3 linked regions of the Anolis sagrei genome follow. The protein of the gene in region 3 interacts with the protein of the main gene of each other region in a pairwise test. Links are inferred from orthologs where the notes say so. Each region holds a gene or a part of one and is shown on either strand. Other genes may lie near its edges.

What was found.
Region 1: the proteins of RTN3 (region 3) and PTPN9 interact in binary tests that used the Homo sapiens proteins (3 or more experiments, as listed by UniProt). The two-hybrid records come from large-scale screens. The link is inferred for Anolis sagrei from reciprocal best matches to the Homo sapiens genes RTN3 and PTPN9.
Region 2: the proteins of RTN3 (region 3) and CERT1 interact in binary tests that used the Homo sapiens proteins (3 or more experiments, as listed by UniProt). The link is inferred for Anolis sagrei from reciprocal best matches to the Homo sapiens genes RTN3 and CERT1.

Annotation. Positions count from the first base shown.
Region 1 is NC_090029.1:8,641,785-8,645,544, forward strand, and holds the start of PTPN9 (tyrosine-protein phosphatase non-receptor type 9), read right to left. Parts: upstream 2,180-3,760; 5' UTR 1,398-2,179; coding exon 1,365-1,397; intron 1-1,364. UniProt on the Homo sapiens protein: Protein-tyrosine phosphatase that could participate in the transfer of hydrophobic ligands or in functions of the Golgi apparatus.
Region 2 is NC_090022.1:263,954,803-263,958,562, reverse strand, and holds the start of CERT1 (ceramide transfer protein), read left to right. Parts: upstream 1-1,545; 5' UTR 1,546-1,947; coding exon 1,948-2,043; intron 2,044-3,760. UniProt on the Homo sapiens protein: Shelters ceramides and diacylglycerol lipids inside its START domain and mediates the intracellular trafficking of ceramides and diacylglycerol lipids in a non-vesicular manner.
Region 3 is NC_090032.1:17,096,165-17,099,924, forward strand, and holds the start of RTN3 (reticulon-3), read right to left. Parts: upstream 2,672-3,760; 5' UTR 2,542-2,671; coding exon 2,433-2,541; intron 1-2,432. UniProt on the Homo sapiens protein: May be involved in membrane trafficking in the early secretory pathway. Inhibits BACE1 activity and amyloid precursor protein processing. May induce caspase-8 cascade and apoptosis.

The sequences.
Region 1 (3,760 bases), on a different chromosome or scaffold from region 3:
GTATATTTATGTGCACATAAATACTATATATATATATATATATATATATATATATACACACACACACAATTAAATGCAATTAATAAATATATATGTGCACACTCACATACACATTGGCATTTTCCCACTATAAATGTGTGGGTGGGTGCATATATGGGTGTATTTATGTGCACATATATACTATACACACACACACATATTGTATGTTGTGTATGTATATATATATATATATATGCAGTTAATAAATAATTTGTGGGTGGGTGCATATATGTGTGTATTTATGTGCACATAAATACTATATATATATATATATATACACACACACACACACACACAATTAAATGCAATTAATAAATATATATGTGCACATTCACGTACACATTGGCATTTTCCCACTATAAATGTGTGGGTGGGTGCATATATGTGTGTATTTATGTGCACAGATATACTATATATATATATATATATATATATATATACACATACACACACTCACTTACATATTGTAATATATATATGCAGTTAATAAATATATGTGTGTGCATACTCACATACACACTGGCATTTTCCCACTATATATGAATGGGTGGGTGATATATGTGTGTGTATTTATGTGCACATATATACTATATATGTGTGTGTGTGTGTGTGTGTATAAATGCAGTTAATAAATATATATGTGCACATTCACATACACATTGGCATTTTCCTTCTATAAATGTGTGGGTGGGTGATATATGTGTGTGTATTTATGTGCACATATATAATATATGTGTGTATGTGTATAAATGCAGTTAATAAATATATATGTGCACATTCACATACACATAGGCATTTCCCACTATATATGTGTGGGTGAGTGATATATGTGTGTGTATTTATGTGCACATATATACTATATGTGTGTGTATAAATGCAGTTAATAAATATATATGTGCACATTCACATAGGCATTTTCCCACTATATATGTGTGGTGATATATGTGTGTGTATTTATGTGCACATATATACTATATGTGTGTGTGTGTGTATAAATGCAGTTAATAAATATATATGTGCACATTCACATACACATTGGCATTTTCCCTCTATAAATGTGTGGGTGGGTGATATATGTGTGTATTTATGTGCACATATATACAATACACACACACACACACACACACACACACACACACATTTGTACACATGAATAGGAAATGGAGCTTGGTGGAAGAGGCAATGCAAAAATCAGAATGCCTAAAAGAGAGGAGGAAGGAAAAGAGAGGGCCTGCATTTCCAATTTCCAATCTGCAGGCCCACAACAACAACAACAACAACACAATTCAATCCAGACACACTGAGCTCTCCCCTTTGGGTCTTACCTGCTCTTCTTCTGGGCTCAATTCTGCAGCCATTTCTCAAGCAAAGGAAGTGGAAGTTTCCCAAACACTTTGACCCCAAAGTCTTTTTTTTTGTGTTGCTTTTTTTTGTGTTGAGTTTTCTTCCCACTTTTTGCAAAAGGAAAAAGCCAAAAAACCAACTAAAACAAAACTGGGTCCCTTTAAATCTTGAATTTTGGGGGGTGGGAACACCCCAAGTTGGACCTTCTTCCAGTTCTTCTTGGATTTAGCATTGCATATATAAAAAAAATTACAAATAAATATTCTATTGATATAGTTTCCAAAGCAGAAAAAAATAATATTATTTTGCAAAGTATTAATATTAATTATTTGTTGTTAAAGAGTTATTGCACCCAGCTTTTGCTCCTGCAATCAAGGAAAATATAAAATTTGTCAAATGCATGCTGCAAATGGAGAAAATTGCTGAAAATATGTGGGGCAGGGCCCCAAAACAGTGGGGAAAGGGGTGCAAAATACCTCCAATTTCCCCTTTGGGGGCCCAAAAAAAAGTGGGGAGGGCAGAGAGTGTAGTCCAAGGCTGGATCCAGGCGATCATAACCTTCCAGTGGTTTTCCTCCCAGGCGGTGCTTTTCCTCTGCCCCCAATCCCCTTGCAACCCATGGCTCCCCTTTTTTTTTGCAAATTCCTGCAAAGCAGGGCGACGCCAGGCCCGGGCATTAAGCCACGCCCACTCCGCAAGCCCAAGCCACGCCCCTTCCTCCTGCCTGGGCTCCATTCACAAGTGGGAGGGAGGCTCATTCAGGAAGGGAAAGGAAGGAAGGAGGGAGGAGAGAGAGAGAGAAGGAAGGAGGGAGAGGCAGGAAGAAGGGAGGGAGGGAGAGGGGGACAGGAAGGAGGAGAAGGAGGGAGGGAGGGAATGAGAGAGGAAGGGGGAAAGGAGGAGGAGAGAAAGAGAAGGAGAGAAGGAAGGAAGGAATAAAGGGTGGGAGAGGGAAAGAAGGAGAGGAAGGAAGGGGGAAAGAAGGAGAGGAAGAGGAGAAAAAGGGGATGAGGAGAGAGGGAAGGGAAAGAGTGGAAGAGAAAATGGGAAAGGAGGGAGGAGAGAAAGAGAAAAGAGGAAGGAATACAGACTAGGGGAAGGAAAGAAGGAGAGAAAGGAAGGGGCAAAGAAGGAGAGGAAAAGGAGAAGAAGGGGAGGAGGAGAGAGGGAAGGGAAAGAGTGGAAGACAGAATGAGAAAGGGAGGAGAGAAAGAAAGAGGGAGAGACAGGAAGAAGAGAGAGGAGGGAAGGAGAGAGAGAAAGAGGGGGACAGGAAGGAGGAGAAGGAGGGAGGGAGGGAATGAGAAAGGAAGGAAGGAAGGAAGGAAGGGGGAAAGGAGGAGGAGAGAGGGAAAAGGAAGGAAGAAATACAGACTGGGGGAGGGAAAGAAGGAGTGAAAGGAAGGGGAAAAGAAGGAGAGGAAGAGGGGGACAAGAAGGAGGGAGGGAATGAGAGAGGAAGGAAGGAAGGGGGAAAGGAAGGAGAGAAGGAAGAGGAAGGAAGGAATACAGACTGGGGGAAGGAAAGAAGGAGAGAAAGGAAGGGGCAAAGAAGGAGAGAAAGAGGAGAGGAGGAGAGAGGGAAGGGGAGGGAAAGAGTGGAAGAGAATGAGAAAGGAGGAGAGAAAGAAAGGGAGAGACAGGAAGAAGAGAGGGAGGAAAAGAAAGAAAGAGGGGACAAGAAGGAAGGAGGGAATGAGAGAGGAAGGAAGGAAGGGGGAAAGGAAGGAGAGAAGAGGAAGGAAGGAATACAGACAGGAAAGGAAGGGGCAAAGAAGGAGAGGAAGAAGAGTAGAAGGGGAGGAGAGAGGGAAGGAAGGGAAAGAGTGGAAGAGAGAATGAGAAAGGGAGGAGAGAAAGAAAGAAAGAGGGAGAGACAGGAAGACGAGAGGGAGGGAAAGAAAGAAAGGGGGATAGGAAAGAGGAGAAGGAGGGAGGGAGAGAATGAGAGGAAAGGAAGGGGGAAAGGAGGAGGAGAGAAAGAGAAGGAAGGAATAAAGGGTGGGAGAGGGAAAGGAGGAGAGAAAGGAAGGGACAAAGAAGGAGAGGAAGAGGAGAAAAAGGGGAGAAGCAGACAGGGAAGGGAAAGAGTGGAAGAGAATGAGAAAGGAGAGAAAGAAAGGAAGAGGGAAGAGGAAAGAAGGAATACAGGCTGGGGGAATGAAAGGGGGAGAGAAAGGAAGGGGCAAAGGAGGAGAGAAAAAGGAGAAAAAGAGGAGGAGAGAGGGAAGGGAAAGAGTGGAAGAGAGAATGAAAGGGAAAGAGGAGGGAGGAATGGGAAAAGAAGGAGTGAAAGGGGAAGAAAAAAGGGAAAAGGAGAGAGGGAAGAAGAAGGAAGGAATAAAGGGTGGGGGAGGGATAGAAGGAGAGGAAGGAA
Region 2 (3,760 bases), on a different chromosome or scaffold from region 3:
TATTTTATTAGCACAGCACAACTGTACTATATTGTTACCTGCTGTAATGCAACCTGAGCCCTGCTACATGCACAATGGAGGACCTTCTTATAGTAACACCAGAGACACTCCAAGTGGCCAGTTACTGGTATTTTATTTATTTATCGTGTCAGTATCAACCAGATAATTGTGTTGCTGCAAGAAGGTCCTCCATTGTGCATGTGGCGTGGCCCAAGTTGCGTTGCAGCAGGTGGTCTGTGGTTTGCTCTTCTCCACACTCGCATGTCGTGGATTCCACTTTGTTGCCCCATTTCTTAAGGTTGGCTCTGCATCTCGTGGTGCCAGAACGCAGTCTGTTCAGCGCCTTCCAAGTCGCCTAGTTTTCTATGCGCTCAGCAGGCCCGTAGCCAGGATTTGGATTCGGGGGGGGGGGGCTGAGTTTGTTTCGGGGGGGGGCTGAATTCGAGTGAAAGAGAGTCTACCCTAGCAAAACTTTTGTATCGTTACCCCAATACCCCCATGCATATGGGATATATTGAGTATGGTGATCAGATCATGATATGAATAAACGTAACAGTTTAAATAATGCACCGGTAAGGCCTTTTCACGAACCACCAAGAGAATTTCGGGGGGGGGGGGGGCTGAAGCCCCCCAAGCCCCCTCGCCCCCCGCTACATGCTTGCCGCTCCGGGGGGAGTCTCTCATTTGATATCAGCCATTGATTGAGGTTCTGGGGTTTGAGCCTGCCACTTTTGGACTCTCGCTTGCTGAGGTGTTCCAGCGAGTGTCTCTGTAGATCTTAGAAAACGATTTCTTGATTTAAGTTGTTGACGTGCTGGCTGATACCCAAACAACAGATGAGCTGGAGATGTCTCTGCCTTGGTCCTTTCACTATTGGCTGCTACTTCCCGGCGTATGTCAGGTGGTGCAATACCAGCTAAACAGTGTAATTTCTCCAGGGGTGTAGGGCACAGACTGGTCAAAAGACATTTAATCAACTACCAAGCTTGCAAACTTTGTGTTTTGTCTGTTTGTTAAAAAATGCAATACAACTGGTTTTGGGGGGGGGGGGGGGGTTGCTCCTGACACGATAAATAAATATTATATAGCTTAAGCGGCTGAGGGAGGAAAAGGAAGGGATCTGAGGCTGTTAGGAATGGTGAGAGTTGGAAGTCCAAAACACCTGGAAGGAAGGCCCAGGCCTGGTGTAGCTGCACCCTCAGTACCACCAAAGAGGAGCAAGATACGGGCCTAACAGTGAGGAGAAACCGAGGAGCCACTCCTTCCTGAGAAAAAGGAGGCAGAAGAAGGGCCCCGAAGCTCCCTCAACGTCCACACACCTCAAGTCTCCTTAGAGGGCTCCAACACCATCACCACCACCACTTCCTCCTCCACGATTCAAAATGGCGGCCGGGCGAAAGAAGTAACCCAACAGGCAAGTGAAAGGAAACGCGCCTCGAGCTACGTCACAAGCCGAGTGACAGTTGGGCCGTCTGCGCCCGCGCCGCTTGGCCCCGCCCCCTCACCACCCACACACAAATCCTCCCAGAAGCCACCGCGCATTGAACAGCGACGAGAGGAGGGAGTGAGGAAAAGAAACCAACCAGGGACTACATTTCCCAGCAATCCCTCCGAGTGGGAGGGGGAGGGAGCGAGCGCGGAAAGGGCTTGGCGGAGAGTGGTCTAGCCTGCCGATAGCGCGAGCTCGGCGAGTAAGATGGCGACGGAGGGAGCAGTTCTTCTCTGAGGAGGAAGAAGAGGAAGGAAAGGAAAGGAAGGAAGGAGAATGGTTGGCTCCACAATCTCTCGCTGAGGGGGAAAGCTGCACTTGCCGGCAGTGGCCGAAAGGGGGCCGCGGAAGGAAGGGGCCTCGAAGAAGGAGAAGGAGAAGAAGGTGTCAGTCGGTCAGGTAGCGCCGCCTCTGCTTCGCTCGCTCTCGGCTCTTTGGCGGCGGCCAACGACGTCTCCATGTCGGACAACCAAAGCTGGAATTCCTCAGGCTCCGAGGAGGATCCCGAGACCGAGTCTGGGCCGCCTGTTGAACTCTGCGGAGTCCTCAGTAAGGTAAGAAGGAGGAGGAGGAGGAGAAGCGCCTGTTTTCCTTCCGCAACAGACTGAATGAGAGGTTTGTGGTGTGTCCCTCCGTCGAGGCGCCTCACCTGAGGAGAGGAAATGGAGGAAGGTCCTGCTGCGAAAGAGGGCGCGTCTACGCTGCAGATTTAATCCAGTTTGACACCACTTGAACTGCCATGTGATGGAATCAAGGGAGTTGTAGTATTATACGGCCTCTATCCCCTCCATACTGCGGATTAAGTCCACGCTGCAGATTTAATCCGGTTTGACACCATATGATGGAATCAAGGGAGTTGTAGTTTTAAAAGGCCTTTATCCCCCCCCCCCTCCGTACTGCAGATTAAGTCTAGCTTTAATCCAGTTCAACACCACTTGAACTGTCATGTAATGGAATCAAGGGAGTTGTAGTTTTATAAGGCCTTTATCCCCCCCCCCTGCAGATTAAGTCTAGATTTAATTCAGTTTGACACCACTTGAAATGCCATATGATGTAATCAAGGGAGTTGTAGTTTTACAAAGCCTTAACCCCCCCCCCCCCCCAATTGCAGATTAAGTCTAGATTTAATTCAGTTTGACACCACTTGAAATGCCAAATGATGTAATCAAGGGAGTTGTAGTTTTACAAAGCCTTAACCCCCCCCCCCCAATTGCAGATTAAGTCTAGATTTAATTCAGTTTGACACCACTTGAAATGCCAAATGATGGAATCAAGGGAGTTGTAGTTTGACAAGGCCTCTATCTCCCCCCTTGTACTGCAGATTAAGTCCAGATTTAATTCAGTTTGACACCACTTGAACTGCCATATGATAGAATCAAGGGAGTTGTAGTTTTACAAGATCTTTATTCCCCTCTCTTACTACATTAAGTCCAGATTTAATCCAGTTTGACACCACTTGAATTGCCATATGATGGGATCAAGGGAGTTGTAGTTTTACACGTCGTTAACCCCCCTTTTTTGTAAGAGACTGCTAGTGCCTCAACAAACTACAACTCCCACAATTTATTTATTTAGTTTTACAAGATTTTTATCCCCCCCCCCTTGTACTACAGATTAAGTCTAGATTTAATTCAGTTTGACACCACTTGAAATGCCACATGATGGAATCAAGGGAGTTGTAGTTTTACACGTCATTAACTACCCCCTTTTTTGTATGATAGTGCTAGTGCCTCAACAAACTACAACCCCCACAATTTATTTATTTATATCCCGTTTTATCTCTCCATACAGAGACTCAAAAACATTGCAACTAAAAATATACAATAATAAAACAATATATCATTATATATTATCAGTAGTAATTTATTTATTTATTATTTATTTATTTGGGGTTCTTTTACCCCGCCCTTCTCACCCCGAAGGGGACTCAGGACGGCTTACAAAAGCAAAGGCACAATTTGATGCCTGCATCATAAAGACAATCAAACACAGAATTACATCAATACACAGTTAACAACAAATATACATTATAACCATAAAATCAATAAAACCAAATACAAACCCAATTGCTCCTCTTACATGGTCAGCGTTCGCTACTCATAGATCTATTTTTACGTTCCACTTCATCAATCCTGCTGGTCTTACTCGCCTGGTTGTCTGATTTAGTTGCCGGAGTGGCCAAAGGCCTGGTCCCATAACCAAGTCTTCACCCTTCTCCTAAAGGCGAGGAGGGATGATGATACTTATATTTAGTATATTAGTATTACTATA
Region 3 (3,760 bases):
ACACTATTCTGTAATATTATTAGCGATATCACATGTAATATGAAATATATAATTATATTGTTTTATTCGTATTATACTGTGTTACATTTTAATATCAATATTATAAGTGTATACAATATATTATATTATCAGCACAGCACAATATTAGTATTACATATCACTAGATTGTATGATATCACTATACTGTAATATTATTAGTAATATTACATGTAATATGAAAAATATAATTATATTGCATTATTCGTATTATACATATATAATTATATTGTATATTAGTATTATACTGTGTTACATTTTAATATCAATATTATATGTGTATACAATATATAATATTAGCAAAGCACAATATTAGTATTATATATCACTATATTGTTCTATAACACTATACTGTAATATTATATGTAATATAAAATATAAAATTATATTGTATTATTGGTATTATACTGTGTTACATTTTGATATCAATATTATATGTGTAAAATATACTATATTATTAGCACAGCACAATATTAGTATACTGTACTATACAACTATACTGTAATATTATTAGTAATATGCAATATGAAATATATAATTATATTGTATTATTGGTATTATACTGCTACATTTTAATATCAATATTATATGAGTATACAATATATTATATTATTAGCACAGCACAATATTAGTATTATATATCACTATACTGTACTATAACACTATTCTGTAATATTATTAGTAATATTACATGAAATATATAATTATATTGTATTATTAGTAATATAAATATATAATTATCGATACAACATCGATACAAAACATAATAATATATTATATTAACACAGCACAATATTAGTATATATCGCTATATTGTACTATAACATTATTCTGTAATATTATTAGTAATATTACATGCAATATAACATATATAATTATATTGTATTATTGGTATTATATTGCATTACATTTTAATATCACTGAGTATCAAATATATATATTATTAATACAGTACAATATTAGTATAATATATCTCTATACTGTACTATACAATGATATTGTACTATTATTAGTAATATTACATGTAATATAAAATATATAATTATATTGTATTATTGTATTATTATTAGTATTATACTGCGTTACATTTTAATATCAATATTATATGTGTATACAATATATTATATTATTAGCACAGCACAATATTAGTATTATATATCATTATATTGTACTATAACACTATAATATTAGTAATATTACATGTAATATGAAATATATAATTATATTGTATTATTAGTATTATAAATATATAATTATATTGCATTATTGGTATTAGACTGTGTTACATTTTAATATCAATATTATATGTGTATACAATATATATATTATTAGCACAGCACAATTAGTATTATATATCACTATATTGTACTATAACACTATACTGTAATATTGTTAGTAATATTACATGCAATATAAAATATCTAATTATATTGCATTATTGTGTTCCATTTTAATATCAATATTATATATGTATACAATATATTATATTATTAGCACAGCACAATATTAGTATATTGTACTATACAACTATAATGTAATATTATTAGTAATATTACATGCAATATGAAATATATAATTATATTGTATTATTGGTATTATACTGTGTTACATTTTAATATCAATATTATATGTGTATACAATATATATTATATTATTAGCACAGCACAATATTAGTATTATATATCACTAGATTGTATTATATCACTATACTGTATTATTAGTAATATTACATGTAATATGAAATATACAATTATATTGTATTATTAATTGCATTATTGGTATTATACTGTGTTACATTTTAATATCAATATTATATGTGTATACAATATATATTATATTATAAATAAATAAATAAATAATTAGCACAGCACAATATTAGTATTATACATCACTATATTGTACTATACCACTATACTGTAATATTATATGTAATATAAAATATAAAATTATATTTTATTATTGGTATTATACTGTGTTCCATTTTAATTTCAATATGTATACAATATATTGAAATTGTGTTATTGTATTATTGGCATTATTGTATTATTATTGTATTATTAAATTGTATTATTAGCACAGCACATGGGGAAGGGAGACATGGGGGAGTTCTATCTTCTTGGCTCCCCTTCTTCACTCTCTATTTGCCATTAATTTCTGCATCAATGCAGAGCAATACAATACCTGGCTCTGTCCCAACTGACAAGCCATTTTTGGATGTTCTCCTCCAGGTGTTTGGTGAGACTGCTTCAAAGGGGGTCGTGTGCCTTTAAGAGGGTTTCCCGTTAAGCCCCGCCCACCTCCTCCTCCTCCTCCCTCGCGCCCACCAGCAGGCTGTTCCAGCCACCCTCCCCCCGGCTGTTCCTTTCCTCAGGTCGCCCGCCCCCCGCTCCCCTTACCCGCACAGGCTTGGTGGGCTCCTTTCGCGTCTCGCCCGCCTCCCGGTTCCGAGGAGCCGCTCCCGGCAGAGGAAGAGATATACGGAGATTGGGTCGCGGGCTCAGCCATTTCGCCGGGCGGGAGGGGACAAAAAGGAAGCCTCGAGTCAACCGAGCGACCGCTCCTCTCAACGGACAGGCGCCGACTGACAGAAACGAAAAGGAGCAAGGATGGAACTGAGCATGCGCAGTAGCGCGATCAGGGGAGGAGGGGGGAACCGAGCGGGCGTGTCGCGCAGGCGCACAACGGAGGTAGGCGTGTCAAGGCGCCCTCTCGCCGAGCATTTGGGAACTCCCTCGAGCTTCTCTCGCCTGCCTGCCCTCCCTCCCTCCTTGCGCGTGCGCAGAACAAGCTGGGGCGAGGCTGGTGTGAAACCTCGCCTCAGCCTGGGCCAGTCTCGCGCGTGACTGGCCGCGCTTGTGACGTCTGCGCCTGCGCGTTCCTAGGAGGAGTAGGGATAAACCATTCTGGGAAAAAAGGGGGGAATGGGACGGGTTATGTATGGGATCTTTGAAATCAATCCTTTGATGTGTTGAAAAGAAATAAACACTCCGCAATGTCTTCATCAGCATTCTCCAAATATTATTATTTTCTTATTTACTATTAATAATTATTTTAATATTAATTAATAATTATTATTATTATTATTAATTAATATTAAATTATATTAAATAATAATAATTAATATTAATATTAAAAATATTAAATAATAATAATAATTAATTAATAGTTAATAATTATTATTATTTTCTTATTTACTATTAATAATTATTTTAATATTAATTAATAATAATTAATTATTAATTAATATTCAAATAATTATTAATGGTAAATAAGAAAATAATAATTATTAACTATTAATTAATAATTATTTTTAATATTAATAATAATATTTTTAAATATTCATTAATATTAATTAATTAATTAATTAATAATATTAAAATAATTATTAATAGTAAATAAAATAATAATATTTGGAGAATGCCGATTAAGACAAAACAATTGTGGAGTGTTTACTTCATTAATTAATCCGCAATTGTTTTGTCTTAATCAGCATTCTCCAAATATTATCATTTTCTTATTTACTATTAATAATTATTTTTAATTAATTATAATTAATTAATATGAAAATAATTATTAATAGTAAATAAGAAAATGATAATATTTGGAGAATGCTGATTAAGACAAAACAATTGCGGATTAATTAATTAATTATAATTAATAATTAATAATAATTAATAATAATAAGGGAACCCCTTTGGCACAGTGGGTTAAAGCACTGAGCTGC